4 linked regions of the Lonchura striata genome follow. The protein of the gene in region 1 interacts with the protein of each later gene in a pairwise test. Links are inferred from orthologs where the notes say so. Each region holds a gene or a part of one and is shown in the gene's direction. Other genes may lie near its edges. The genes, in order: NFE2L2, MAFF, WAC and MAFK.

Region 1 (7,043 bases):
TCACAGAACCTCCTGTGAACTGCCACACCTTCCTCAATGCAACAGGTTCTTACCCTTCTGATTTCTTAAGAGTGGTAAAGTAGCACCAGCCCTTTCCTTCTTCATCCTTTTTCATCATCTTAAACTCAGAAGTCAGCTACACCAGGATACATCTTAGCAACACATGTTGCTTAACCACCGTTCTCTAAAGGATGAAGTCCTTATTATAAAGATTCCTCTGAGTATTGGGGGTAAGGTGCAAAGCCCCTCTGAAGACACTTATATTCAAATGGTACCAATTCTTTAGGAGTTAACTGATGTTGCTGCATAATAACATCATAATCGTTAGCAGCAAGAATTTCAAGTGTCTATATGAAGAAGGTAACACATTACCCTGAACAACCTGCCTGTGAACTTGACACACAGCAGACAGCTCACTACATGCTTATCCCTTAGTTTTCCCTGTGTAACAGGATGCCCACAATAATTAAAACATATTCACAACCCTCTTTTCGTCCCTAGGAAAGCAGCTTCTCCACAGAGATAGGATAATCAGGATATGCTGTCCAGCCTTCTGTTGCAGCAAAACAGAATAAATTTTAAGCCTACAAGCTACTGAGTCAACATTTAGTTAATCTAAATGAATTATCCCTTTTAACAAAGACTAAATAATAGAAAGTTTGATTTGAGTAAGTTATACAAGTTTTCTTGAGATCAGCATCAGTGCATGATCCATCTCTGAGGCACTCATACTTTTGAGCACACCCAGCAGTTACTCTGGTACAACTCTGTTCTAGGAAGTTGTAGCACCTGACTGCTTCCAAAGCAGTTCAAGTTGAACACTTCACGTATATACAGTTATTCTGAAGATTAAGTAAATTTTTAATTCAAGTCTCACCAGCAAAGCAAGCTTACCAGTCATCAAAAGTCAACAGCATAACATAAAAGGACAGGAAAAGTAATTTCAAGGAAGAGTTATTTTCCAGCTCAATCGTTTTACCAACTTTTTCAGCATGCCTATCATCTTCTTCAGGCTTCAACACACATTGTGTAACTATGATTCCAGCTTTCACTGCAACACTCAATTAAAATATTACATTTAAGCCAGGAATGCCACTGAGAAATAACATCTCTCTACTCTCACAGTGCCTAAGATTTCCCTCAAGAGAATACTCAAACAAATAGATAGTTGCTTGTCTTCTGTGGAATTTTCCATCTCAATAACTATAACTTGAAAAAGTAGAAACACATCAATATGCATTGCTCAGTCTTCCAAGGCATTTTTATTTGGAAACAAGAAGAATTAGATTAGACCCACAGACTCAGTCAATACCATGTGCTCTTCATACTCCCCTTGCTGGTGAGAAATAGTGTCTGGATAAGATCTTTAACAGTTTGATCATGAACTATCAACAAGAAAGCCATGCTTTAGAAGTCACTGTCTACTGACTGTTAGAAAAACAGCCGGAAAAAAAAATTCTGTGATCACAGACCTAAAGTACTACAAACGGTTTTTTTCCATCAAAAAAAAAAATAATTTACTTGCAGAAGAAATGTAATATGAGGAGAGTGGAACTGAATCTGCTAAAGTAGCGTCTATAGCTTTGCTACTATTTCAAACACTACAGGAAAGATGCAACAGGTGTAAAGAACAAAAGCTTCGCTTAAGGTACTTTTGGCTACAGCTTTGCTAGGAAAAATTAAAGTAACAATTCAAAAGAGGCAGAAGAGCTGAATCAGCATTCAATAGACAAGAAGACATCATCCAGCTTTGGATTGTCCTAATATTATTTAAAAAGGCATGCACAGTCTCTAGGTCAGTTATTTTTACTAGATTTTTCCAGCAACCTTCTTAGCATCGCAAATAAAAATCAGCTCCAGATTAGCTGGGAGTCACTAGAACAAGACTCAGGCATTCATCATTTCCCACTCCAAATCAGTGTAGGCAACATAACTCACTCCTCTATCACTCCAAAACCTGGGTATTATCCTCAAACATGAGCTCAACGAAGATCCACATAGCCTAGCTATAGTGAAGTATCAGAATTTCCACATGCAGCATCTTAGGTGTGTTTCAACCATACCTCAGATGTTCAGACAGAAACTTAAGACAGAGATAAAGATCCCTTTATGTTTTTCTTGTTTCTACACATACAAAAAGGCAGCATTCTAAGTACAGCAAGAAAGTTATACCTCTAGTGAAGAACAAGCTAAGCTTTCCCTTACACCCCCACAGCAAATTTTCATTCTGAGTCCAGATCAAGTTATTTACAGTAAAAATACTAACCCATTATGATCCTGTAACAAATCCTAATAGGGGAGAGCAATATCAATAACTTGTAGAAGTACAAATGTTAAGTTCCCCAAGCCTATGTTTCCACAGAGAAAGAAGCTATCTTTCAGGTCACAGGCATCAAAGGTTTGTTTTCTCCTGCTTTTCACATATGCAATAACTGGCTGCAGAAATTATACAGCAATCCATTTAAGATAAATCCCTGAAAAACAGCTAAGCTGGTATTTTTCCATAAACAGTGATTTCTTCCTAGATTCAAACCAAACAAAAACTCAATATGGAAGGCAACAACTTCAGAACAACCCATCTGTCCCAGTGAGCAGCACAAGCATCAAATTCTCCTCAATGAGAACTAAAAGCTTTCAAAGCTGTTCACATCTGACCATATGTGCATGACATCCCAGTCCTCCCAAAGTAGGCAAGTTCAGCTTGTGACTGTAGGCCACAACTTGCCTATTAGGAGAATCCAGGCTGTTCCTTGCTCTCTTTTTGAAAAGGTTGAGAGCAAAGCATAGGCTGAATGGATTCTCCTCAAACGAGGAACAGCTCCTCTATTCACTGCTTGCCCAGTTTGCCTCTGGACTACGCCCATACACTAACAAACGAGTTCCTGTACACAGTTCGAGAGAGAATAGGAGGTTGTCTACATCCTAAGCCTTAAAATGCTCTTATAAGATAGAAAGGGGGAGAAGAAAGTCACAAAACTAATACAAGTCCACTCCAACAGAAAGGAGGCCTCATAATAACAAGTTACATGGAACTACATAATGGTATTATAATCATAGCATTTAAAAAAAAAAAAAATCTAGCAGAAAAACAAAGCCAAGAGCCAGTGAAATAACTGTGAACTAGAGAATTTGACTGCTTTCCCTTGGTGTCATGTGATCTGACTCACTACTACAGACAGCAAGAACCAGAAAAAGTATTTGATAGCTCTAAAATCATTCATTTCTAAGAAAGTTTTGTTAGAACCTCACACGTGAGCACACTCTGCCAGTATTCACATCAGCTGAAGGTTTCTGTGAACAGCAGAGGACCAAGAGACCACAGACCTTGCTCTTCACACGTGCTGCATTCCTCATTAGAGAAGCCTCGACGTATTTTACGAAAACGAAACTTCTCCATCACATCTACAGACGTGAATCAGAGGACCATGAACGACTTCCCATTTTAACACCATCCCACTTACTACAGAAACAGGTAAGAGGCTGAAGACCACCTTCTTTCGCTTTCCTCCAGTGCCCGCAGCGGCGAACGGCTTCAGCCATGTACATCACCCGCGACCGGCACCCGCCTCAGCCGCCCTCCTCCCGCGGAGCCCACGCGGGCCCCGCCGGCCCGTGCCCGCGCCCGGCCGGAGCAGAGCGCCGTCCGAGCCCGGCCCGCGCTCCGGGACCGCGCCCGGCCCGGCCCCGCCGCCGGCCCGCGGGGACCCCCGCCCGCACCCACCGCTTCTTCGGGATGGAGCCGGAGGCCGGCCCGGCGGAGCCGCCCTGCGCCTTGCAGGGGCTGGGGGAGAGCGCTCCCCGCCCCGGGGCCCGCGGCGAGCCCCGCAGGTGCCCGGAGATGATGCGCAGCCGCCGGCGGGCGGAGGACGGGGAGCCGCCGCCGCCTCCCGCTGCCTCGCCGGCCGCGGCCGCCATCGCTTCCGCGTTGCGCCGCGACCGCCGCCGGGTGAGAGGGCGCGCGGGCGGAAGGCGCCGCCCGGCGCTCCCCGCGCGGGCCCGGCCCGGCCGCGCCCCCGCCCGGCCCCGGCCCGCGCCTCGGCAGCGCCGGGCTCGGGGAGAAAGCGTTCGGTAAGGATTCCCGCCTCCGGTGCTGTAATTACAGCCCCTCTGGGTCGCTGAACAAACGGGAGAGAACACAGAGTGTCCTTTAGAGATAAGGATTGCCCAAGTTAATGATGAAATGCTAATTAATGACAATAGCATAGGCGGGTTACTTAAGAAATAGGTCGGTGTGGTGGCAGATAATCCGACAGGTGTTGCAGATTTTATCATCGCTGTTGACAGGGCCACAAAGCCCTGGTGAGCGCAGGGCTGCCGAGCCAGGTGCCTCTGTGCCTGTGCAACCCGGCTGGCCTGAGGGGGAGGATCCGGCTGCTGATCTGCTCCCCAGAAATGATTGCTGACCCACTGCTGGGAATGCATCGCCTGCTGTATGGGATACCCATCACTGGGCCGATCCTTGCAACAACCGGCCATCCTCACCGTACTTGGGACCTGGGAGAACATCAGGGATTCACTTTGTAGCATCACTTTGAAGAGGGCAACTGGGATTTAAGGGGAGATGCAGATTTGATGCCAGCCCCAGGTGCTTTCTGCTGTGAATTTACCTTGATGCACCTGAATGCTCAGGAAAGGATGCAAAAACTGGAAATACTTTAAAGTAGAACAGGAAAATAGGTTTTCTGTCTTCAAATATGTAAAAGATTGCTATCGACTGAAAGGAAGCAATCTGCCCGTCATGACTCAGCTAGGTTGGTGAGAAGTAATGAGCTCAAACTGCAAGATGTAACTTCAGTATTAGCATTAGACTATTTTCTGATGGCAGTGGAAATGAAAAACTGTTGTAGTCTGCCTAAGTAGAGAACCAAGTCACCTTCATTAGCAGCGTTAAGAACAGACAACATACATCTATCAGACATACCATTATAAGCAGTTCTGCTCAGGGCAAGGTGACCTGCTCAGATTAATTCCAGCTTTTCCTCTGTGGCATGAAGTATCTCACATGTTGTAGTCTACTCAGTTGTCACACAGGACCTACTTTCATGATCGGCTTTTGCCACTGACTGGCACCGACCAGCTTTTTGGAAGTCCTGAAGTAGATTGCTGGGGTCTACGCAATGACTGATAGTTTGATAATGACATTTTGTCTATCAATGTTGATTTATTTGTTAATTTCTTCATCGAATGTTTGTTACGTGAAATACAATCCCAGGAAAATTGATAAAGCTCTTACCCTCTTCCAAACCTCTTCTAAGGACCTATTTCTCCCATGATACTTCAACATGGTACCTTTCCATGAACTAAGCAATTTGCAGGAGGTTCCCCAGGGAGCAGGCTGTACTGCACAAGCAGGGAGCCTTGGGCTCAGTTCCTCACCTCACATGCAATATTGGTGCTTCTTTGAGTCACAGCTCCCATATATATATCAGGGATAACAGGATCTCCCCAGAGAGACTGGTCTGAAGATAAATACACTATGGACTGCGTGACAATATAGGACCAACCCCAGTAATGCCTACTGATGAGAAGCAGTTCATAAAGCCACCCAGGTGTTATTACTGTTTGTTTTGCTTTTATTCTCACCATTGCTAATTGATTTTATACCCTTTGTATACTTTCTCTAGAAAGTAGCCTGCAATTTTCCTGGGGCAGTGATTGCACTAGTTGCACTCAGGCTTAAGTTAGGTTTCCGGTATTAGTGCAACATAAACAGCTGTTGTGGCAGTTCAATAGTTTGGTTATGGAATTAAATTTCCCCCCGTGAATAATTTGTACACAAATTTCTGGATTAACTCATGCATATCCACATTTAGCTGTCTGCTGTTGCAGAGGCAGTCTGTAGGGAACAAATATGGGTCTCAACTGAATTTCCACTCACATTGTTTACTGAAGTTCTGGGTATAGCTGGGGGGACTTTGAGTCACAGTTACCTAAAACTTTCCTCATTGCTGAATGCTGCCAAGTGAATACCAAATCCCCTGTAGTAGGCTTCAGGTTTTCCTAGAATGTTTCCTTGGATCACAGTCACTTGTAAGGAACAATAATGAGCCAATTGGTCATTTATTTGATCCTAATTGTAGAGCTTCACAGTTAAAAATTGGCCTCAACTAGAATCTAATAAGTAATATTTGTAATCACCTCACAACTTGTTTCTCAAAAAAGTTCCAAATTAGTCTTTAAGTATGTGTGTGAACGAAGATTTAACTGGAGATGCTAGAGACGTAGTGGTATGATTTGGAAACTCTTGAGAGCCTTGTCTTTTGCAAAGCAGAGGAATAGCTAAGTCACACCTTGTTTTCGTGTGAGAGAGGTATTTTCTTACAGTAAGACTGCTAAGCTCCTACCAGTGCTCTGCATGCAATCCCTGCTTCCCTTGGAAGGATGGCAATCTTCATAAAAAGCAGCAGAAACATAATGTGCTGTCAGATTGTGAGGTCACTGTTTCTCATTTGCTGAAGTGAACCACTGGCATGTTTTCAAAAACTGTATCTAATTTAACCATATAATTCATTCTGATAAGTAGTAGTGCCAAGAAGAAAATTTAGGGAAAACAAATTTGAAAGTAATCTGTTGTGACACCAAAGAGAACTTTTATCAGTAAAAATACCAGCAGATCTACAATGCAGTAGTTGGAAGTATTCTAATTGTTGTTGAGCCAAAGCAGCAGCCTTTGCCATTCCATGAGCTGTTCTGCCCACAAAACTGAGTGCATCTGTAAGCATAAGTGAGATGCCAGCTCAATGTGACACCTCATGCCAACAAAGGCCTGCATTTCCAGAATTCTGCACATTGGCATTTTCAGAAAATAGTTTTAAAGCCAGTTTACAGTGTAAACAAAATAAAGTTGCCAAAGTACTGTAAAGTTTCAGAGAGGTCTTCATAACAAGGTGTCTCAGAGTTCCATTACGCAGTGGTCCCATGAGAGACACGGACGGAGCATGCTCTCAGGACAAACACTCCACTCCTAGGCAACCTGCACACAGGCTGTGCAAAGGAAAAACTCTCCTGATAAATCTTCTTGCCTTGAGTGGAGTCTGGAACAG
Region 2 (7,017 bases), on another chromosome or scaffold:
AATAAATAGACAGATAAACATGGAAGAGCATAATCTCTTCTTGAGCTCTGTGGACAGTCTCTGGAGCACTGGACCCCTCACAATGCTACAGCCTGTCCTCTTCATCCCTGCTCCCTGTAAATTGCAGATCTGTTACATGCTGACTGGTTTGTTGCAGAAAAGTATTTCACTGCCACATTGGGGAAACCCTGCAAGCCCTGGTGCACATATGAGAAGTGGAAATTTAGTTTATTTTTGTTGGTTTAGCAAGGAATCAATACAGAAAACAAACATGAGAAAGATCACACAACAAGCCAAGTTGATGTCACCAGAGAAATAAAGAAGAGGATATCTTCTTAACACAAAGTTCCTAAGTGCCCACTCCACAGCATGGCAAGCCCTGATCCTCATCATGCATTAGGAAACTCCAACACCGACTGGTAGGCAGAGGGAGAGCTGTCACAACAGGTATTGGGCAAACATGGGGATTGCAGCCATGGGGAAGAGTCAGTCCCAGGCTTGCACCAAGTCTTGGGGAGCTGACAGACTTCAGGAACCATGTGCAAGGCCACCCACACCTTACAAACCCCGTCACTCTGCCCAGCACTTCTCAGCAATCAAGAACATCTACAACCTCAGACTGTCTCTGCCTCGAGGCTCTGATCACTGTGCTCCATGCAAGGCCACTCAGTTCAAACAGCAGGTCCTGCAGCTCCAAACTGCCCTTCAGTCTGTGGGCAGCACACGATCCCCCATGGCAGCCTCAGCACACACTTCCCTATAGGAGCACTCTGCCCAAAACCAAACACCCTGCTCGCAGGAGAGAGGGAACAGATGGCCACAGGCCTGAGGTAAAGCAGGATAGAGGCCTGATGCAAAAAAGCAGAGAAGCATTACATTCTGGGGAAACTTGCTTAGCATCCTTGTTTGAGTGCTGGGTGGAATCTGCACTCTGAATATGGGAAACAGCACCAGTAAAGAGGGGATATAAGAGGCTGAAATCAGGCTTAAGCAATAACTCAACACAGGGAACTGACTTTCTCTTCCCTTGTCTGTAGCTGTTTTCCCACCTCTATCACAGCACAGAGAAGACCCATTCTAGTCCCACTTTCTCCCAAACTAGAAGTCGCTCCCACCTCAATGATCTGGGGGTTGTTTCCTCGCACAGCATAGTGGAAAACAGTCTCCCCATTCTTGTCGGTGATGTCCACCCGCGCGTGGCACTCCAGCAGCTCCAGCAGGCACTCCACATCCCCCTTGCGGCACGCCAGGTGCAGTGGGGTGCAGCCATCCTCGCTGTCCGTGCTGTTCACACAGCTGCAAGAGAGGACTCAGCGTGAGGCCCAGGAATGGCCACGGAGAAGAGATGTGTCCCATCTGGTGTGAACCATCAAGTTCAGGAAAGCCCAGCCTCTGGCCAGAGAAGAAGCAGAGGGAAGGGACATCAAGTAGCCATCTCCTGGACTATCTCCCTGACAGGCTGCTCCTTTCCCTGCCCTCCATATGGGATCAACTCCCTCTGCCCAAAGGGAGGCAGGAAACAGGTTACAGTCAGCAACCTAGAGATGGTGCTGCTATTTGCCCTCCAGTCCCCTACCTCCTCACCAATCTGCCCTATCCTCGGTAAATCTGTGATGGTTTTGGCTCGGGTAGAGTTAACTTTCTTCACAGTGGTTGGTGTGGGACTATGTTTTGGATTTGTGCTGAACACAGAGATATTTTTGTTATTGCTATGCAGAGTTTACACAGAGCCAAGGCCTTTTCTGCTTTTCATACTGATCCACTGGTAAGGAAACTGGAGGTGCAGGTGAGGTTGGGAGGAAACACAGCTGGGACAGGTGACCCCAACTGACCAAAGGGATTTTCCAGCCCATATGACACCATGCGTAGTATATAAAGTGTGGGGAGAAGGAGGAAGTGGGGGGACATTTGGAGTGATGGCATTTGTCCTCCCAAGTCACCTAGATGCATGATGGGGCCCTGGAGGTGGCTGAACACCTGCTTGCCTGTGGCAAGCAGTGATTCAATTCCTTATTTTACTTTGCTTGTGTACACAGCTTTTGCTTTCCCTTTCTTTATCTCAACCCAGGTTTTCTACCTTTTACTCTTTCAATTCTCTCCCCACTCCCTCTGGTATGGAAATGAGGAGTGGCTGCATGTGGCTTGCCTGCTGGCTGGGGTTAAATCACAGCAGAAGTTCCCCATGAAAAACCAACAAGGTTTTGTGGCCAAAACCTCTTTCCAGACAGTCCTACCATATCTCCACTCTCAGTGCTTACAAAGCGAGCAAAAACCTCCTCCAAAAAGCTGCTCCAGAAGGCTTGCAATAACCTAATCAGTATCTCTAGCAGGACACTTCAATCCTTTACTTTAAACACCAGAGCTCCAGGCTCTGCAGCAGCAGGTTGAAACCCACCAACCAGCTTCCGCAGCAAAGAAGGGATACTCTAATACAGCCCAGCCTGTCCTCCCAAGCTCCTTCCGAGCATGGAGCCCCTGGAGACACCCTGCTCCTTGCCTCAGGATGTGGTTGTGCCGGAAGCTCTCCCGACGGCCGAACTCCACGGCAATGTGTGCAGGGGACCAGCTGGGGTAGCTGCGGATGCAGTCGCTGAGCTGCTGGAGCTCCTCCAGGGACAAGGGCTGGCACGAGCTCTCGTAGAAAGGGCGCAGCTGCCGGGCATATTGCTCAAAGTACACCAGGGCGTCTGCTTCGTTGTCCAGCTGGAAGAGCCTGGAGAAAAGGCAAGCACAAGGTTCATCCTGCTCAAAGGAATAACCCCAATCCCATGTACGTGAGGGAAACAGCTCTTTTCCAAATGGCAGTGCTGGGAACTTTCCTTTTCTTCTTCAACTAAGGTCACCTTTGTCCCAAGGAAAGCAGGGAGACCACTGGAAGAGAGCACCCCTCTTCCTGAACAATGTCAGGTTTTGCACAGAAACATGAACGAGCAGAAATGCATGTGGACCTATGGATGCTCTGAACTATATCACAACTGCCTGTAGTCGCAATTTTTGGACCTCGTCCTACTTCCACGAGCTGTTTTGCGACAACTCCTCCACCAGCACACGCACAGGCCTCCCAGCCCACTTGCTGCTTCAACACAACAACCCACACCCACGGCCTCGAAGCAGTCCCGACATCAGCAATCTGGGGTCTTTGTTTTCCCACGTCAGCAGGGACGGCTAAAGGTCTGTCACTCACCGGAACGCGACCTGCGGGCTCTGGGGATTCACCAGCAAGCAGTCCCAGGAGCGAGAGAGGCTGTTCTTGTAGAGGGCCACCCTGCCCTCCTCCCGCAGGCAGGCGTGACCGGCGTACTCGGCGGCCGGCACCTCCCTCACGCGGTACGGGCTGGAGAATATCTGCGTGACGCTGCTGAAGGTGTCCAGCAGCCGCCCAAAGAACTGCATCTTCCCAGAGCCTCAGGCGGCCTCTCCTGAGGGAAAGGCGGCCACTGGCCCCGCCGGCCCCTGCCCTTCCAGGCACGGCTGACCCGGACCGGGGGTCGGGACGAGGCGGGATCCGGGGATGGCGCCGGGCAAAGCACGACGGGCCCCCAGCGCCCCCCGCGCGCCGCCCCCCGCGCGCACCGCCCGCCGCGCGCCAATCGCCGGCACCGCCCCCCGGGACGGACCAATCAGCGGCGCCGCTTCTGGGGCGGGGCCATGGGGGAGGGATTAAAGCGGCGCCCGCCGCCTGCCGAAGGAGGAGAGCGGAAGGCGCCATCTTTGTGAGGGGCGGGGCGACAGGGGTGGGGCCGCCCTTCTTAAAGCGGGAGCGGCCCATTTCGGTGGGGCGTTCTGCTGCCGGCAGCGCCGTTCACCAGTCGTGCGCCTCCCCTGAGCTCGAGGTCAATCCAGCGCTGTTGGAGCGCGGCCGCGTTCCCAGCGCGGGGTGCGAGGAGCGCTGGCAGCGTGCGAGGAGCGCTGGCACCGCGGGGCGCTTTAAGGGCAGCGGGCGCTTTAAGGGCAGCTGCCGTCCCGCGCTGCAGCGGCGGTAAGGGGGCGTGGCGAGGGTGACGTCACCGCATGACTGTGTTTTTATGAATGAAAAGAATCCGCGGGTGAGTAATCGCGGGGAGCGAGGTTGGAGGCGCCGCCCGACGCCCTGACCCGGCAGCGGCCCCGCGGGACCAGCGCAGCCGCCAGGTGAGCGCCGGCCGGAGCGGCCCCTCCGCTCCCGCCTCGGCTTCGCCCCTCGCGGGGCGGCCGGGAGAAGGGGGCGGCGGGGTCCGGCACCGGCTGGAGGCCTCTCTGCCGCCGCCGAAGGCGGGGATCGGGACCGGGACTAGGGCTGGGGGGGACGGGACAGGGGGCCGGCCGGCCAGCCGCGCTCGGTGCCGTCCGTTCTTCCTTTTCAATTGCCGGCCACCGCCCTGGAGGGATCCGCCGCCGCTCCTCCGGCTCCGGCGGCGGATCCCCGGCCCGGATTGCATCAGCTTCCAGCCGGCCCGGCTCCACCTTTCCCGCCGCCCCCCTCCAGCCCCTCATTCCTCTCGGGGCGCTCTCGGCCCCGTCCCGGCCCCCCTCGTCCCTCTGAGGGCTGTCCTAACGAGGACGGGGTTCCCCGAGGTGGGGAGACGCTGCTGGGCTGCAGTCCGGGGTCCCGGACCCCTCCTCACTCTCCGAACCCGGGGGCGGCGAGGGACCGGCCATCGGCGAGGGGCAGGCACCGCTTCCGTGACTTTCACCCCGGGGCTGCTGAATCACGGGGCGGCCACTTCTCACCCGCCCGCCCCCGAGCCAGGGGACACCCGACCCTTGCGCCGGGACCCGCCGTGCTCTCGCCGGGCGGTGGGGCAGCGTCTCCACACGGGTCCCGACTGGGTGACTTCGCCACCGTGTCACTCGGTGGGGCTGCTGCTTTTACTTTCCCTTCAGCCCCGGGCGGATCTCGCCTGTGTTTCCTCCCCGCGGGAAAGGCTTGGCTTCCCAGCAGACGGCTGGGGCATTTTGGGTCCCCTGGGCAGAGCAGCATCCCAACCGTCTCGTGATGGGATGAAGGAGGGTGGGAGGTCCATCCTTGCCTCATTATTATTATTGCTTGCAGTCATCATTGCTATTAATATTATTACTATATACTTTTTTAAAAGGAGTGGGATGAGTCATGCGGCCCGGGGTGGGGGGGATGTGGGTAGCGGGCAGGGGACCAGCAGGGCTGGTGTCCTCTCTTCTGAGGTGAGGAACACGGGGCTGGCAGTAACCAGCTTTTCTCCTGGCTGCTCAGCAGGGCCAGAGCGAGGAAAGGATGGCTGCAGACGGGCTCTCCAGCAAGGCTTTGAAGGTGAGCACCAGTGAGAACAGGGGCTTGGGAGTCAGGGGGCTGGTTTTGGGGGTCTCAGGCAGCCACCCCTCTCTCCGGCAGGTGAAGCGGGAGCTGGGGGAGAACACTCCACTGCTGTCAGATGAGGAGCTGATGGGGCTGTCAGTGCGGGAACTCAACCACCACCTGCGGGGCCTCTCCAAGGAGGAGGTGGCGAGGCTGAAGCAGCGTCGTCGGACACTGAAGAACCGGGGTTATGCTGCCAGCTGCCGAGTGAAGCGCGTCTGCCAGAAGGAAGAGCTGCAGAAGCAGAAGATGGAGCTGGAGTGGGAGGTGGACAAGCTGGCCCGGGAGAACGCTGCCATGCGCCTGGAGCTCGACACCCTCCGTGGCAAGTACGAGGCCCTGCAGGGCTTCGCCCGCACCGTGGCCACTCACGGGCCCCCCGCCAAGGTGGCTACTGCCAGTGTCATCACCATTGTCAAGTCCAGCACCAACCAGGCTGCCTACTCCTAGTGCTGGCCTCTGTTCCCCCGCTGGGCACAGTCCTCCCCGGGGTGCCTTCCCTATGAATTGCCTCCCAGCCCTTCCCCAACCTCCTCTCTGTCAGGACCTGTGCCCAAAATCCTCTTTCTCCCATCCCTTGACCTCCAGCTCCCCCAGGTAGGGAGGGCTGCTGCTATGTGGGTACTTGGATGGAGGACAGGACCTCACTGGTGGCCCCCATAGCCCCCTCCCCTCTTGGGTGTGCAGACAGGAGAGAGTGAACCCACACAGGCAGCAGTGGGGAAGCATCCCACAGCTCCAAGCTGGTTGGAAAATGCCACGTGCCTCTCTTTTGTGAGAGGACATGGGAGAGCCACATGTGGGCCAGGCAGTCCCAGAAGCATGTGCCAGGGAGAGAGGTTTTGCAGTGTAGGGGAAGAAGGCATGATAGAAGGGTATTGGCATTAGGCAGATAACCTGGACCACAGCTGGAGCAGGAAGGGAGGTGGCAGCATGTCTGAAATCTCTGGGGATTCAGATGGCAAGGGGAGGTTAGCAGGTCAGAGGGGGAGATAAAGTGGCTGCGTGTTAATGCCTGGTAAGGGTGAATGGAATGGGAAAGCACTGTGGCAGCTTGTGGTGCTGGGGGACCCCAGAGGTGACAGTGATTGGGCAGGGGGGAGCTGGGAGACCTGAGTGGGTCACTCCAGGCTGTTGTCCACGAAGGGGAAAAGCAGTGGTGCTGTTTTATCTATCTCTAGCATGCACATCCTTCACGCCTCTTCCTGCTGATGGGACACACAGCCTGGCCGGGTGTCTGAAATGCAGCAGCACTGGCAGGAAGGAAGCAGAGGCAGCAGGAGCAGAGATAAACACTGTTTTGCTCAGCACAGGCCAGCTTGTATGGCCCCACCAAGTCCTCCCCGGTGCCCCACCACCTACAAAGCCCATGGAAAGGTGCTCCCAGCCCTCAGAGTCGGAGATGTGGAGAGAGAGAGGGGTGAAGATGCAGGAAGTAGGGACAGAGAGCATCCCTGCTCCTTGGAGCTGCCTGGCAGGCAGGTAGGCTCCTCCCTTTGGTTTTCCTCCAGCTTGGACACAGGTGTGGGACAACCAGCTCTTGAGCAGGCTGAAAGGCTGGAGAAGAGCTGGGTTCGCTAAATACAGGCAGCACAGGGGAGGGAGCAGGAGGCAGGTCCATCTCAGGATCTGCTGCTGTAGATGATTCCCCTGCCCCTCCATTCTGCCCTTGCCTGGGTATTGCCACGCCAGCCGCCCTCGGCTGC
Region 3 (7,146 bases), on another chromosome or scaffold:
CCACTTTTAAATGTGAATTTAAATGGAAATTTTAGATTGGGTTCACTCGATCCCAATCATGGAATTCTAGCAACATTTCATCTTTTTATTTGAATGTTGGGAAGCCCCCATCTGTGTGTAAGTACTAGCCAAGTTACATTTTCCCTTAGTTTTTTAGTAAAAAAAAAAAATTGAGCACCTCCAGTTATTTAGTTTTGACACTGTAATGCAACTAGCCATAATAATGGCTGTGAAGTAGATTTCTTTAAAGTCTTATAAGGCTTCTCTTAAAGCTTCTTTAGTTTTATCAGCTTCAGTAGAGCAAGAGGCATTATTTATGATTACTCTAAGGAAAACAAACCTGTAATTATTGTTTGAAACCAATACTATAAATAACTGTACTGTTCTCTATTATATTTCTATTATAGAAATTGTTTTTCACAATTTTAAGTTCTAGTGCAGCTAATAAGAAGCAGCTTACATTTGCAACTCCAAGTTGTTGCTCTTTAGTTAGTACTTTTCCCGAATCTTCCTATTCCCAGTAAATCAGTTACTACTATGAGTCTAAGGGCAGATAGAATGTCATAAAATGTCCAGTCAAATAAATCACTTTTTTGCTACAAAAAATAGCAAAATTTTCCTGTTTCTCTTCAACATAAACAAAGTGGTCCTGAGTGCTGCAATACTCCAATAGCAATGCTCCTGAGATAATACACTTTTATTACCTCTGCATTACCCACTGGGAATTCCCCAAAGGGCCATACAAGTAAACTGATTAGCCTAGTCACAATCATCCCTGATGTAGCTTGGCAACCAGAAGAACATAAAATTTGCTCCCTATTATTGATGAAGAGCTATTACCAAAACTATTCACATCTTCATTCCCTCTATATGTGCACCTTACAAACACACCACTATCAAGTCAGGAGATTTCAACTGCACTTCTTTCAATTTAAGTAATTGGTATTGAATGGAGATTCAGTTTAAGTCATTGTTGTAACATTTCAATAAGAGGGACAAAATGCACATGTACGTGCACACACTGCTGAGAGACTTCTGCAGAACAGAGAGGTTCAGCAGAAACAAAAAACAGCATTAAACTGATATTTATGCCATGCTGTTATATTATCCCTGATCTCTAAACTAAGTTCTATTTTAATGTCCTCTGTAAGAATGACTGATAGCTGAAAACCACTTCTCATTTTCTTCTTTCACCTTTCATTTGTATTTCTTTCATATCATTTTAGGATGTTTACTATTCTCCACAATTTTATTACAATTATTTAACAGATCAGTCTAAAGCTAAAAGGAACTAAAAAGGCTTCCAAAAATTCTATTACTGGCTTCTAGCCAGGATTATCTTCTTTGGTCTTTATTTACCTCTGTATTTTTAACTGGACCCCAGTGGTTTTTCAGGACTTCTAGTTGCTACTGACGTGATTTTCTTACCCCCAAGTGAATTACTGGTCCAAGCCTTCATGGTGCACCTGTCTTTGCACTTGCACCAAACCCTTTCACTGCAGCACATCTCCTTTCTAAACAAGGCTTTGAAGAATACCTTAAGAAGATGCATGAACCACATACAGTGTTAAATTTTAAGCCTCCATGCCCTGCATTACTCCTGATTTCTCACCTTATCCCTCTATTATTCAAATAGGCAATTATTGTAAACGGGGCTGTCTTTGTGCAGGCATCAAAACTCCGAGCTCCTAGAGCAAAGTAAAAGTAGCTCATTTCAACTTGGTCCCAACAGTAAAGCCTAAGCATTAGTAAAATGAAAAGAAGTAGTATCTGATTGACTTGCATCTACTAGTTTTCAAAGAATAATTTACTGGGAGCCATCTGAAGTCAACCAATAAAACATGCCTTTTTTCTAAGACTTGAAGCATAATGATGTCAAAACTGACAGTCTCCCATCTGCCTCAACTACCTATCTGCTATTTTTCGTAGTGTTCAATTAGGTAGATTTCTTAAAGCAAAACGGCAACTTTATTTAATCTGTTTTCTAGTGCATTTGAAAATAAAAAAACATACAGAAAGACTGGAAGAAAACCGCTCTCTGCTTATACTGTGGCTGTAGGGTTCCGTGGCTGACCACGTTTCTCACCTAGTGGAATTCTAGCACTGCAGAGTCCAAACATTTGACTGTTTCATGTTACATGGGTTTTCAGATCTGGTGAATGCTTTAAGCTTCCCACTTCCTTCTTCAGGACATTAAGTAAAGTTCTAGAGCTATCCAAAATCTTCATGTAAGCAGCTTCAGTTTCAGCAAGTATTTTATCAAGCTCATTCCGTGAAGCCACTTTTTGGGCCAAGTTTTCACATACACACTCCAGCTGTTCACTGAGGACTTGGATTTCATGCTGGAGTTTATTCTTTTCCTCTTCTGCTTGCCGGATTTGTTTGTTCAATTCTTCTTTCTGCATACATAAATCTTCAATGCATTTCACTAGTTCATTATTGTAACCCTGAAGAACAGCTCCCTGCTGAGTCATCCTGCACTCACTCCCTGAAGTCCCCTTTCAGCAATGGCCTTCTGCACTCAAATTAAAGGAAAACAAACAAACAAACAGAAAAAAAAAAAAATCTGTGAGAGCATTGCCGTGAATAATGCTTCACTAGCACAGATGGAGCCACTGGGCAAGGTTCTCTAAGTTAACAGGCCCATTCTCAGATATGCCACATCTCTTCCCTTTTCAGGAGGCAGACAGGACAAAATCTGGCAAATGTTCTTAAACCTTTACTGTAAACTGCTGTCCCTTATGACACTGCCATGGCACTGGCATCGAAGTATTTATGATACGGTTAATAATACCTTTGTACAACCTTGAATATAGGATGCTTTGTACATCAGACTTCGAGGGCCTGGTCAGAAATAAGCAAAAACTACAGAATCACAGAATGCATAAGGTTGGAAGGGACTTGTGGAGATCATCCAGTCCAACCCCCTGGCAAGACAGGGTCACCAGGAGCAACCAAGTGGGTATTGAATGTCTCCGCAGAGGGAGACTCCACGCCCTTCCCAGGGAGCCTAATCCAGTGCTCTTCCACCCTCAAAGGAATTTTTTCCTCATTCTGAGGTGAAACTTCTCGTGTTTTAGTTTATGGACGTCGCTCCTCGTCCTGTCACCGGGCACAGCCCTGAGTGGCTCAGCAGGCACTGCCAAGGCCAGGGAATCTCCCGACACGGCGGCGCCCGCAGCTCCCCCAACACTGGGGTGACGCGGCTCGCATGTGCCGGGGCCACGGCGTGTGCCGCCCTCACACCCCCGAGGACACCCCGGGACCGAGGCCAGCCCGAGCCCGCGGCCGCCGTCCCAGGGACATTTTAACACCCTCCGCGCCGCACAGCGCGGCCCCGCCGACACGCGCCGCGCACAAAATGGCTCCCGCCTGCACATCGAGTGCCCGGGCGGAAGGGGAGGAGGGGGTAGGTAAGAGGAGACCTTCCCATTCCTATGTCCCCCCCGCCCCCCGTAATTCCCCCTGTTGCCCCCACCTGCCTGGCAGGATCGCGATTCCTCCCCACCGAGGGAGCGGCTCTGCCACCGAGGCCGCGCTGCCCTCGGCTACCCGGCCCCGTGCTCCCGCCAGCGACCGCGCCGGCCCACGGAAATACCCGAGCGCTTCCGAACGTGGCGCCGCCCTGACGGCCGCACGGAAACGTCTCTCCGGAAAAACGCGATGTTTTCCGAAGACAGGTAGCGCTCGCAAGAGTGGGCCGAGGCGGGAGGGGCAGGGAGGGCCGAGCGTTACGGAAGGAGCCGATATTTGCCGAAGGGAGGGACTGAAGGGCGTCGTGCGCGGCGGAGGCAGCCGATGTTTGCCGAAGGGAGGGACTGAGGGGCGTCGGGCTCGGCGGACGCAGCCGATGTTTACCGAAGGCAGAGTCGCCCGAGAGCAAAGGGGACAGAGGGGACGGAGCGCGTCGGAAAGAGCCGGAAAGAGCCGACGTTGACCGAGCGCGGCGTCGCCCGAGTTCCCCGGATGTAGTTGGAGCGGCGGCGGCGGGCGCGGCGGGGGGAGGCGGTGGCCGAGTCGGTGCTCCCGGTGTGTCTCAGCGCGCGCGGGGCCGAGCTGCCAGCGTCTCCCCTCTCGAGGCGATGGGCCCGTGAGCGCCGCTCCAGCCGAGCTGCCCGAGCCGCCCCCTTCCCCCGCCCCTGCCCCCGGAGCGCTGCCGCCCCCGCCTCCCCCCTCGGCGCCTGTGGCCCGGCCGCGGCCGTGCCCTCCTGGTCCCCTCACCCTCACACACACAGGCCGGGCATTGATGGTAATGTATGCGAGGAAACAGCAGAGACTCAGTGATGGGTAAATTCACCCCCTCGGCCCCGCGGGGCCGCCCCCCCCACCCCCTCCGCCATGTTCGGCCCGGCCGCGGGGCCGGTAACGGGCGCTCGCTAACGCCTCTCTCTCTTTCTCTCGCTCTCTCCTCAGCTGTCACGACCGCAGGGGGGACTCGCAGCCCTACCAGGTACCGCCGGGCCGGGAGGAGGAGCAGGGGAGGCGGGGGGGGTGCTACTCCAGCGGAGGCTCCGGCGGCCGCCGCAGGCCGCGGTGCCCCGGCCGCCCCGGTCCGGCCCCTTGCGGGGCCCAGGGCCCGGCGCCGCGCGGCGGAGGAGCGGCGGCGGCCCGGGCGCGGGGAGCGGGGCCCCGCTGCTCGGCCGAGGCCTGCGGAGCCGGGGCGAGCGGGAGCGGCCTAGTGCGACCCGTGCGGGGCTCGGGCCTGGAGTCGGGGAGGGTGCGAGGGGCAGGAGAGGGAGCCGGGGTCACCTGTGGTGGAGTGGAGATCCAAGGGAGGTGAATGTTTTTCTTCTAAAAACAAAAGGAGTCTTGCTCTTCCACCGCCCCCTCCCCCAACCCCTCCCCAAAGCCCTTTCTTCTCCCCAAAACTGCTGCTGTGGGCTGTAACCTGAGCAGGGCATGGGTTTAGAGCCTGACCAACTTGGGGCTGCAAGTGAGGCTTAATTTCTGCAGTTGCCAGCTGCTAGGCATGTTCAGAAACCATCAAATCCTTGAGTTACCGACAATAGTCTCAATTTGTGTAAGGTGGATACTGCACTTTACTGTGTCTACTGAAGAAACCAAATTGTCGAGGTTCGAGTCTGTGGAAAGCTGTATGTTGTGATATTGCTCTCTGTGGGCCCTGAATTGGACTGTTTTACTGCATTTCTGTGTATTTGAATCACTGAAGTGCACTAGAGCCGTCCAAGGCAGCTGTCAGTGGCAGTTCACAAAAATGTAAACACTTGCCTCTCAGGAGTTCACAAAACCAAGCAGGTCAGAGTGCGGCAGAACATGTAGTTTTTGGTAAAGAGTTTATAATGAGTTATTATGTTACATGTTGGCCCCCTAGAATTATTTTTGGTTTAATTACAAGGATGTTAGTACTGAAAAAAACGTCACAGAAATTCAAGATAGTGATGCAACCAGGTGGTCTTTACTAGATTATGGAGGACATATTCGAAGTTTACACTGATTCAGTGTAACTTAAAGTTTGTTTTCCTAGTAACAAGTGGAGACTAGTTCCTCTCCCAAAACTGTTGAAGAGCTGTGGCCCATTTACTGCTGAAACTGTGTAATTCATCAGTGGAAAGATAGAGAAACTAGGATTCTTCTTAACAGCAAGTGTTGCATTTGATTTAATAGTGGGAGAAATTGGTTTAAGTTCTAATTACAGAACTTGTTGCTTTAATGTAGGTAATTAAAACTAGGAAGACTAATGCTGATATGTTTTAATAGGCAATGAAAATTATTTAACTTTTAAAATACTTCTGAAAGAGAAGAAAAAAATCCAAAAATTTTGTATCTAATGTAGATGCCTATGTTCTTGTGATCTGTTACAGGCTCTTAAGTACACATCCAAGAGTCACCCCAGTGGTGGTGATCACCGTCATGACAAGATGCGAGACGCCACAGATCCTTCGCCACCAAATAAAATGCTGCGGCGCTCTGACAGCCCTGAAAACAAATACGGTGACAACACAGGGCACAGTAAAGCAAAAAGTGTGCACACTCACAGAGTTAGAGAGAGGGATGGTGGTAAGTTATCTTTAACAAACTTCTACTTAACCAGTCACTGATTTCTCATTAAAATTAACCAGTATCAACTCAAGTGATGTCTTACACTAAATGTGCCTTGTACTCAGCTAGGGTGATTGCAGTGAACCCAAAGTGGGAATTTAATTGGAAGCAATCATTGAGGCATTATAACACCTATTAATTTTCTGGTTTTTACAGGTATGGTAGTTTTCCTTACAGTCCCAAAGATTAAATAAACCCTTTTGTTATTATTTTAACTAGTATGTCTCATTTATTTAGGCATACAGCAACGTTTGATAACATGAAATAGTTTTCCAATTTTTCATTAGTAATATTGGCTGTTTTGCATCCTTTCAATGACTTTGCGTATTGTGATGTTGTACTTTGTAGGTACATGCTCTATAGATTAAACTCCAACAGAAATGAAAAAAGCTTCTTTGTATTTAGCTGCTATGTAGAACTCTAATAGATCAAAGGTAGCACATACTAGAGCCTTTCTTGACTGGAATTTGAAGAAGTATGTTCACAGTCAAGTTAGCCTCCTATGTTTTTACAGGCTTATAAACAGTAGCAATATCCCCAGTTTTTTTTAACTGATCTTATTTTGCATCCCTGCTTCCTAGGAAAATAATAGGATTTTCCAGGTAATAACAGTGTTAGGTAACAAACAGCCAGAGTTTAGAAAATTGCAATTGCTGTCTGAATTTGGAAAAGTTCTTTTGTTCTGTTGATTGGTGTTTGTGTCAAGGTACAAGGTGAAGTATTCCAGTAGAGAATTTGGAGCTTTAAATCAGTGCTTCTTTTTTCTGTATAAAGCTAACAAATTCTGATGTACATACATGTTTATTGCTGCACTAGTTTTACTTGATATAATAGTTTTAGTAAAATAAAGGAAGTATCTTTCAAGTACCTTTTTAGGACATACTAGTGTAACCCTACAAATGTGTTCATGGATACCCAATTATTCTTGTAAATCCTATTTGTTTTTCCTTCTTTGGTTTAATGCTGAGGCTCTCTAGGCCACTGTTAATGACAGAGAAGTGTGTAGGTGCATTATAAGAACATGCCTCTTTTGTTAATACGCTGAATTTCATTGTATCTGATAATAATTTGAAGTGTAGTAATCTC
Region 4 (7,652 bases), on another chromosome or scaffold:
CCGCCGGGGCCTGGCCGCGAACCTCCCCGAGCGGCAGCGCCTCCGCCTTATGCAACCGCCCGCGGCTTCCCCACGCGCGGCTGGCCCGGGGACCTCTGCACGCCACGGCACACGGCACACGGCACACGCAGCCAGGGACAGCGCCCGGCGGGGACACACAGCCAGGGGGACACACAGCCAGGGGGACACACAGACAGAGGGGACACACAGCCCGGTGGGAACACACAGCCTGGCATGGACACACAGCCCGGTGGGGACACACAGCCAGGGGGACACACAGCCCGGTGGGGACACACAGACAGAGGGGACACACAGCCCGGCGGGGACACACAGCCCGGCGGGGACACACAGCCAGGGGGACACACAGCCCGGTGGGGACACACAGACAGAGGGCACACACAGCCGGTGGGGACACACAGCCGGGGGGGACACACAGCCCGGTGGGGACACACAGACAGAGGGGACACACAGCCAGGGGGGACACACAGCCAGGGGGACACACAGCCCGGTGGGCACACACAGCTGGGTGGGCACACACAGCCAGGAGGACACACAGCCCGGTGGGCACACACAGCTGGGTGGGCACACACAGCTGGGTGGGCACACACAGCCGGTGGGGACAGACAGCCAGAGGGGACATAGGCACACACAGCCCGGTGGGCACACACAGCCCGGTGGGCACACACAGCCCGGTGGGCACACACAGCCAGAGGGGACACACAGCCCGGTGGGGACACACAGCACGGTGGGCACACACAGCCAAGGGGCACACACAGCCAGGGGGGCACACACAGCCAAGGGGCACACACAGCCGGTGTGCACACACAGCCCGGTGTGCACACACAGCCGGTGTGCACACACAGCCCGGTGGGCACACACAGCCAGGGGGGCACACACAGCCGGTGGGCACACACAGCCAAGGGGCACACACAGCCGGTGTGCACACACAGCCGGTGGGCACACACAGCCGGTGTGCACACACAGCCGGTGGGCACACACAGCCGGTGTGCACACACAGCCGGTGGGCACACACAGCCGGTGGGCACACACAGCCGGTGTGCACACACAGCCGGTGGGCACACACAGCCGGTGGGCACACACACCGGCGCGTCCCCGGGCGGGCACGGGCAGCGCCGCGCCCCGGGAGCCCCTGCCCGCCTGCGGGCCCCGCTCCGGCCGTACCGGCGCTTACATACGCGTGTCTCCTCTTGACATTGTGGCGGCGGGCGGCGGGCGGCGGGCACCGAGCACCGGGCCGCGCTCCCGGCGCTGCGGCTCCGCCGGCCCCGCCGTAAACACCCGACGAGCCGCTCGGCCGGCTCCTACCGCGCCTCTGGAGTAGCAGCGCATCGCCCCTCCTCCGCGTTGGGCGGTTTTTCAATTTTATTTTTAATAGTTGTGTCTACGCTCGGTGCTGTTCAAGAGTGGGGAGTATGGGAGAGTGGAGGGTTTTTTAGGTTTTTCCACAGTTGATGCATGCACGGTGTCAAAACCCAGAGAATGAACAGCTCTGTGCCCTCTTATAGGGTGAGAGCAATTTATCCCTGCTCAGTGGCTTCAGGGAATCGTGATGCTGGGTGTGTTTTGGGCCAGACTCACAAAACCCCACACATCCCAGAACACTGCCCTTTCTCCATCCAAGTTTTCACCAGAGGTCCTGTCTCCCATGCACTCCTCTTCATTTGCTTAACAAGTGTGTGTGCTGCACAGGCTTTCCCACATTTCAAGGGACTGGAGAGCTGTTCTTTGTTTACTTTGAAGGCCACCCATGTCTAAAGTTCAACAGCGAATGAAAACCGACCTTTGGAGCACAGATACTTTCCCCAGGGAATGAAAACAAAAAGTAACCTGTTGTGAACAGCAAAATTCATCCAGAAACAGAATTTCACGTGACACAGCTGCTCCCCTCCTGCCATATGTGATCTTTCAAACCCCATGTTGTTGCAAAAAGAGGGGGAAATACCTCAATTCTGTTGAGCCCCATATGCAGGGCTGTCACCACAGACGGTGAAACCCCCATGCAGGATGCAGCCAGCCCATCCCTCCTGCCCTTGAGGACCAGCATCTTGTGAATGTCTCAGGGATAAACCCTGGATGATTTAGGATGGCTCTGGCCACTCTTGGTTATCACCACTCAGAGAGAGCACAAGGAGCAGGTGGCTATGCTGGGGACATCTGTGGCTCCAAAGGCTCCCACACCCAGCATCTCTCTCCTTGCTTGGCTTGGCTCTCTGAGACACTAGAACCTTCCTGGATGGAAAGGAGATCTGGAGACAAACCTCAGAAGCATCAGTAGGGCCCTCTAGCCCTTAGATCACCCTTCCCAGCACCCAGGGCAGTATTTCAACCAGTGTCTGCAAACCTGGGAGAGGTGAAGGCCGAGCTGTTGCAGCTACACTGGACAGCAGCTTCATGCCACCCACCACCTGGGAGCTTTAGCCAACCTCATTAGCTCAGTTCCAGTGATAAATGGGGATTTCTTAACATCAGGGAGGTGCATTCACCTAAACCTTGCTCTGGCTGCCCAGATGCATGGGGCTGTGCCAGATATGAGGCTCCCTGTGTTTTGCAGCTCTTGTTATTCAAAGGGAGCAGGGAAAGACGGGATCTTACTCACAGCCTCAGTTATGGCCCTTAGGCTGGAAAGCACAAACTGCATGAGGCTCACACAGACTTTCCAACATTGTAATGGACACAAAGAATGCAAAACAAGTCCAGCTGAGATGGAGGCAGTTTGGTTTAGTCAACTGCCTGTGTTATTACATTTTTTGATGCATTATCATCATTGTTGAATGGCCCCAGGGTCCGAAATGCTGTTCACACCATAGGGGTCAGGGTGCTGTGTTTAGTAGCTCACATAACTGCATGAAGAAAGTGCAAAGATTGGGTTGAGGATCCAGCCCTGGGCAGGATTTGGCCCTGCTGCAATGCTCAGGGAGCTGCAGGACGAGCAGTGCTGGCAAAGGCTGGTCCAGAGCTAGTGGAGGACAAGGCTAGTCAGTGGCCACCTCAAGGTGCCCAGGGAACAAGTGAGTCCTCCCAAGAGCATTGGGATGCCCAGGACATGTTCCCCCACCATCATTTGCCCTGCAACAAAGCCAAGTGCTGGTGCTGCACCTGGGTCAGGGTAACTCCAGATATCAATCCAGACTGTGGGATGAATGGATCAAGAGCAGCCCTTCCAAGGATTTGAGGGGGCTGGTGGATGAGAGGTTGGATATGAGCCAAGAAAACACTTGCAACCTAGAAAGCCAACTGTGTCCTGGGCTGCACCTGGCCAGCAGGTCAAGGGAAGTGATTCTACCCTTCTGCTCTGCTCTGTGAGAGCCCACCTGCAGTGCTGTGCCCAGCTCTGTGGTTCTCAGCACAGGAACAACATGGAGCTGTTGGAGTGAGTCCAGAGGAGGCCACCAAATTGATTAGAAGGATGGAGCACCTCTTGTATGAGGAGAGAATTGGGATTGCTCAGCCTGGACAAAAGAAGGAGACCTTCAGGGAGCTCTTACTGTCATCTTTCCCTGTCTGAAGGGAGCCTGCAAGAAACCTAAAGAGGGACTTTTGACTGGGGCACGTGGTGGCAGGACAAGGGGTAATGGCTTTAAACTGACAAAGAGCAGGTTTAGATTAGAAATCAGAAATAAATCTTTTCCATGACGGTGGTGAGACACTGGCACAGGTTACACAGAAAAGTTGTGGATGCCACATCCCTGGAGGTGTTCAAGGCCAGTTTGGATGCAGTTTGGAACAGCCTCGTCTAGCGTAAGGTGTCCCTGCCCATGGTGGCAGGGGGGTTGAAAGGCGATGAGCTTTGAGGTCCCTCCCTAACCAACCATTCTATGACTGCACAAAACGTGTGAGCTCCCGCCATCGGGGCTGATGCGGGTGGCAGGGAGCTGCCGGAGAGGGGTGAACCCCGCAGCGGGGCGGGGGCACGGGGCATGGCGTAGAGGAGACGGGGATGAGGATGGGGATGAAGAGGGATAAGGATCAGGGTGAGGATGAGGATGAAGGGGACACAGAAGAGGGATAAGGATCAGGGTGACGATGGGGATGAAGGGGACACAGAAGAGGGATAAGGATCAGGGTGAGGATGGGGATGAAGGGGACACAGAAGAGGGATAAGGATCAGGGTGATGATGGGGATGAAGGGGACACAGAAGAGGGATAAGGATCAGGGTGAGGATGGGGATGAAGGGGACACAGAAGAGGGATAAGGATCAGGGTGAGGATGGGGATGAAGGGGACACAGAAGAGGGATAAGGATCAGGGTGTGGATGGGGAGAAAGATGGAGGTGAAGGAGGGATGAGGACCAGGATGAGAATAAGGATGGGGACGCGGACGAGGACGAAGGGGGGCGACTACGTGCCGGCAGCGTGGCCCCGCCCGTCCCGCGCCCTTGCCCATGAATGAACGGCGCGGCGCGGGCGGTCCCGGCGGTGACGCGGCGGGCGGGCCGGGCGGGCGGTGACGCGCGCGGTGACGCGCCATGCCGGAAGCGGCGGGGGCGCTGGTTGGTCGGCGGCGCGGCGGGGGGGAGGCGGCCGCCCCGCGCTTGTTGTTGTCCGCGGGACTCGCTGGCAGGGAGGGAGGAGGGAGCCGCGCAGCGCCCCCGCCGCCGCCCCCGCGCCCCCGCCGCCCCCGCCGCCGCCCCCGCCACGGGGCGCTCCCGCCGGCACGCAGGTGAGGAGCCGCCCGGGCGCGGCGCGGAGGGGGCGGGGGCGGGGGGGTGGGTCGGAGCCGGGAAAGGGGGGGTGGCCGCGCGTTGCCGCTCGATGGCGGGGGAAGGGGCGGCTCGGCGCGGCTCCCGCCCGGGTCCCGCTCGGTCCGGTCGGGTCCGGTTGGGCGCGGGCGGGCGGGGCGGCGGAGGTAAAAGTGCTGAGTCACCACCGCGCCGGGCACGTGGTGCCGCCGCCCCTCGCACCGGGCCGGGCCGGGCCGGGCGCGCACGTGGGGCCCGGCGGAGGGCGAGGGGAGGGCGGCGGCGGGGCTCGGGGAGCGCCGCCCGCCCCCGCCGAGCGGCCCCCGAAGCCCCCGCGGGGCGGAGGCGCGACGGCCCCGCCGTCACCGCTGCCCTGTCACCTCGCACCAGTGCGGAGCCGGCTCCGCTGAACCCCCGTGGGACGGGGCTGGCAGCGCCCCCGCACCCTAGGGGACGCGGGGCTGAGGGTCCCCTGGCTGTTTGCCGGGGTGATGCTTTCCGTGTCTCTTGTTGTTATTTTTCTTCCCCCCGAGGATGAGCGCGCTGCCTGCCTCTGCCTTTGAATGGCTCTTAAAATACATGTGAGGAAACCTGTTGTGACGCCGCGCGCTCCGCCGACTAAGAATAGCAGCTTTTGTAGTACGGAGGGAGCCGGGGCGCAGCCGGGGCCGGGCAGCGTGGCCGGGCGTGGTGGCGGCTTCGCGATCCGCTGTCCGCCCCGGGTTATCGGGCAGGAGCAGCCGCCGCCACCGGGAAACGCCAGGCGGGCGCGTCGCTGCCCATCGGATGGGCTGGGGGTCAGGGCTGCGGCGGGTGGGGGGCTTATCTCTGCTGAGCACAGCTGCTGGTTGGGTCGAAAGAGGGAGAGGTGCATGGTGTGTTCGGTGCCGGAGCCTGTGGGGAGGGAGGGCTGCGTGTGCATGGGGCCGCCCTGGAAACGGGGTGCTCTGCGGCCGCCGAGGGACGGGCCGTGGGAGGAAAGGGGACGGTGACATTCCGGGAGCGGGCACTGCCGCGTGACTGTCTGGTGGGTGCGGGACGGTTTGGGGATCTAATCAGGAGTGCGGAGGTGGGTGGGGGGAACCTCTTCAACCTCCCCGTGACGGCAGCGGCATAAGGTGGGGAAACATCCAGACCACGAGCGACGGGAACCGAGATCGCCAAACTCTCACAGTGTGTCAGGGTCTGTTTCCTTCCTCCTCCTCTTCTTCCTCGGGCTGAGAGCCCGTTCCTCTCCCTCGTGAGTTTCTCCGTGGAGGATTTATTTTACAGATTCTGCTGAAAGCAGGCCATGAGGTCTCAAATTAGGAACGAGCCCCCTTTGGGCAAAGTTGTTACAGAAAAGGGAAGGGCCTCCATTTTCGCTTTCACCTGGCCGCCCCCTCCTTTGCTAGCGTGCCTAATGCTGAGCTGGGACTGCGGAAGGTGGAGGGAGCCAGTGCGAGCTGCGTGTTTCCCTGAAAAGCTGCACGCCTTTTTCTTGCACTTTCAGTTTTTGTAATGAGCCCTGTGGCGGTCGCAGCCCCGCGCCCCAGCCCTGCGCCCCGTGCTGTCGGGCTTTTAGCAGCGAACGAGTTTACCTGGTGGGTGGGCGGTGTTTTATGTTTTTTTTTTTTTCCTCACTGATGAAAGCAGCGTGCGTCCCTCCTCTTTTTTTTCCCCCCTCTCCTTCCGTGTGTGTCCGCGGTGCTGCCTGCGGAGAGCCCTTCCTCGAGCCTTCCCCGTGCAGTCACTTCCTCGGGCTGATGGACGCCGCGCCCGCCCAATGGCTGCGCGGCCGCGGAGTTCGCCGCGCTCCCGCCCGGCCGCGCTGCCGGCCCCGGCGCTGCCGGCCGAGTCCCCGGGCCGCTTGCCGCAAGGTTGGGCACACGGTGACTCTGGCCGGCAGGACACCCTGCCCGCTTCGGCGGCCTCCGAGCTTGACGGCTTTGAGCCCTCTTAGGTGTTCTCGGCTGTATTACGCCAGCTTCTCGCCTTGCTTCGCAACTGTTTCTGAACCACAGGCAGAAATTTGTTGGCGGTTTTTTATTTTATCCCTGCTTGCTTGTCAAGGGCAGCGTGCTTTGTCATGTTTTATGTCATTTCTGCGCCGTCGCCCGTCTCGGCAATCTGTTGCAGCATGGAGTTCAGTACTGCTGTGTGCCTCCTGAAAGGGAAAAATACAGATCAGCTTGATACCCTCTGATTTCCATCAGCATTGGAAGATGATTAATGGCATGGAATGTGCTGCAGGACTTGGTATTGAAAATCTCTAGCTGTGTGAGATGTTTGGGAAGTGAAGAAAGGACAGCTGGGAGCGCTGGCCCCTGCGGCAGTCGGGGTTTGCGGGATAAGCTCGCTCACTGATCATTTTTGTAAACATCCAGCTGTGAAATACTTGAGCGGTGCTAGCACTTTCAATTATCAGGAAGTTTCAGGCTCAGCACCCTGTAGAGATGAACAGGCAATTTCCACTTCTGTCTCAGCTATTGTTTGAGGCTATCTTCAAACTTGGGCAGAGAGTCTTCCAAGCATGAAGCAAGCACAAGCAATGCAGTGCCCTGTGACCGTCAGCACAAGGGCTGGGGGAAGGCAGTAGTGAGAGCAATTACCCTGGCACTGTGCTCCTGAGTTGAGGGACAGGCTGCATAGTGGATCCCACTGCTTTGCAATATTGAAGGATGCCAAATAGCGATGCCGCTATGTTCCGTTATTACAGTTAGTGAAGATCGCTGACTTGATGGCTGGCACTTTGGGTCAGAAGCAGCAAAGTTAGGAATCCCAATCCCAGTTCTGCCCCAGGGTCTGGCTGTGCATCCGAGGAAGTTACTTGTTGCTTGGTGGTTCAGCTTGTCCGGCTGGGGAGCTGCATCTCTGGGCTGGTGATGCTGAGGTGTAATTCCAGTATATCTCTGTCACCGCGTTTTACAAGCACGTGATGGAAAAAGTGCTGTAAGCTTGTCAGTACCAGGG

What was found.
Region 2: the proteins of NFE2L2 (region 1) and MAFF interact in binary tests that used the Homo sapiens proteins (3 or more experiments, as listed by UniProt). The link is inferred for Lonchura striata from reciprocal best matches to the Homo sapiens genes NFE2L2 and MAFF.
Region 3: the proteins of NFE2L2 (region 1) and WAC interact in a two-hybrid assay, tested with the Homo sapiens proteins (2 studies listed by BioGRID and IntAct). The two-hybrid records come from large-scale screens. The link is inferred for Lonchura striata from reciprocal best matches to the Homo sapiens genes NFE2L2 and WAC.
Region 4: the proteins of NFE2L2 (region 1) and MAFK interact in binary tests that used the Homo sapiens proteins (3 or more experiments, as listed by UniProt). The link is inferred for Lonchura striata from reciprocal best matches to the Homo sapiens genes NFE2L2 and MAFK.

The regions. Positions count from the first base shown.
Region 1 is NC_134610.1:22,648,019-22,655,061, reverse strand, and holds the start of NFE2L2 (nuclear factor erythroid 2-related factor 2), read left to right. Parts: upstream 1-4,026; 5' UTR 4,027-4,068; intron 4,069-7,043. Other genes in the region: AGPS (alkyldihydroxyacetonephosphate synthase, peroxisomal), read right to left, coding at 3,722-3,915.
Region 2 is NC_134607.1:23,669,171-23,676,187, forward strand, and holds the start of MAFF (transcription factor MafF), read left to right. Parts: upstream 1-4,014; 5' UTR 4,015-4,131; intron 4,132-5,209; 5' UTR 5,210-5,230; coding exon 5,231-5,266; intron 5,267-5,347; coding exon 5,348-5,761; 3' UTR 5,762-7,017. Other genes in the region: PLA2G6 (85/88 kDa calcium-independent phospholipase A2), read right to left, coding at 1,116-1,296, 2,498-2,713, 3,185-3,393. UniProt on the Homo sapiens protein: Since they lack a putative transactivation domain, the small Mafs behave as transcriptional repressors when they dimerize among themselves.
Region 3 is NC_134603.1:141,328,561-141,335,706, forward strand, and holds the start of WAC (WW domain-containing adapter protein with coiled-coil), read left to right. Parts: upstream 1-4,145; 5' UTR 4,146-4,246; coding exon 4,247-4,287; intron 4,288-4,413; coding exon 4,414-4,450; intron 4,451-5,822; coding exon 5,823-6,018; intron 6,019-7,146. Other genes in the region: microtubule nucleation factor SSNA1, read right to left, coding at 2,130-2,474.
Region 4 is NC_134618.1:12,878,892-12,886,543, forward strand, and holds the start of MAFK (transcription factor MafK), read left to right. Parts: upstream 1-4,634; 5' UTR 4,635-4,681; intron 4,682-6,845; exon of another isoform or gene 6,846-7,652. Other genes in the region: lysosomal alpha-glucosidase, read right to left, coding at 1,193-1,215. UniProt on the Homo sapiens protein: Since they lack a putative transactivation domain, the small Mafs behave as transcriptional repressors when they dimerize among themselves.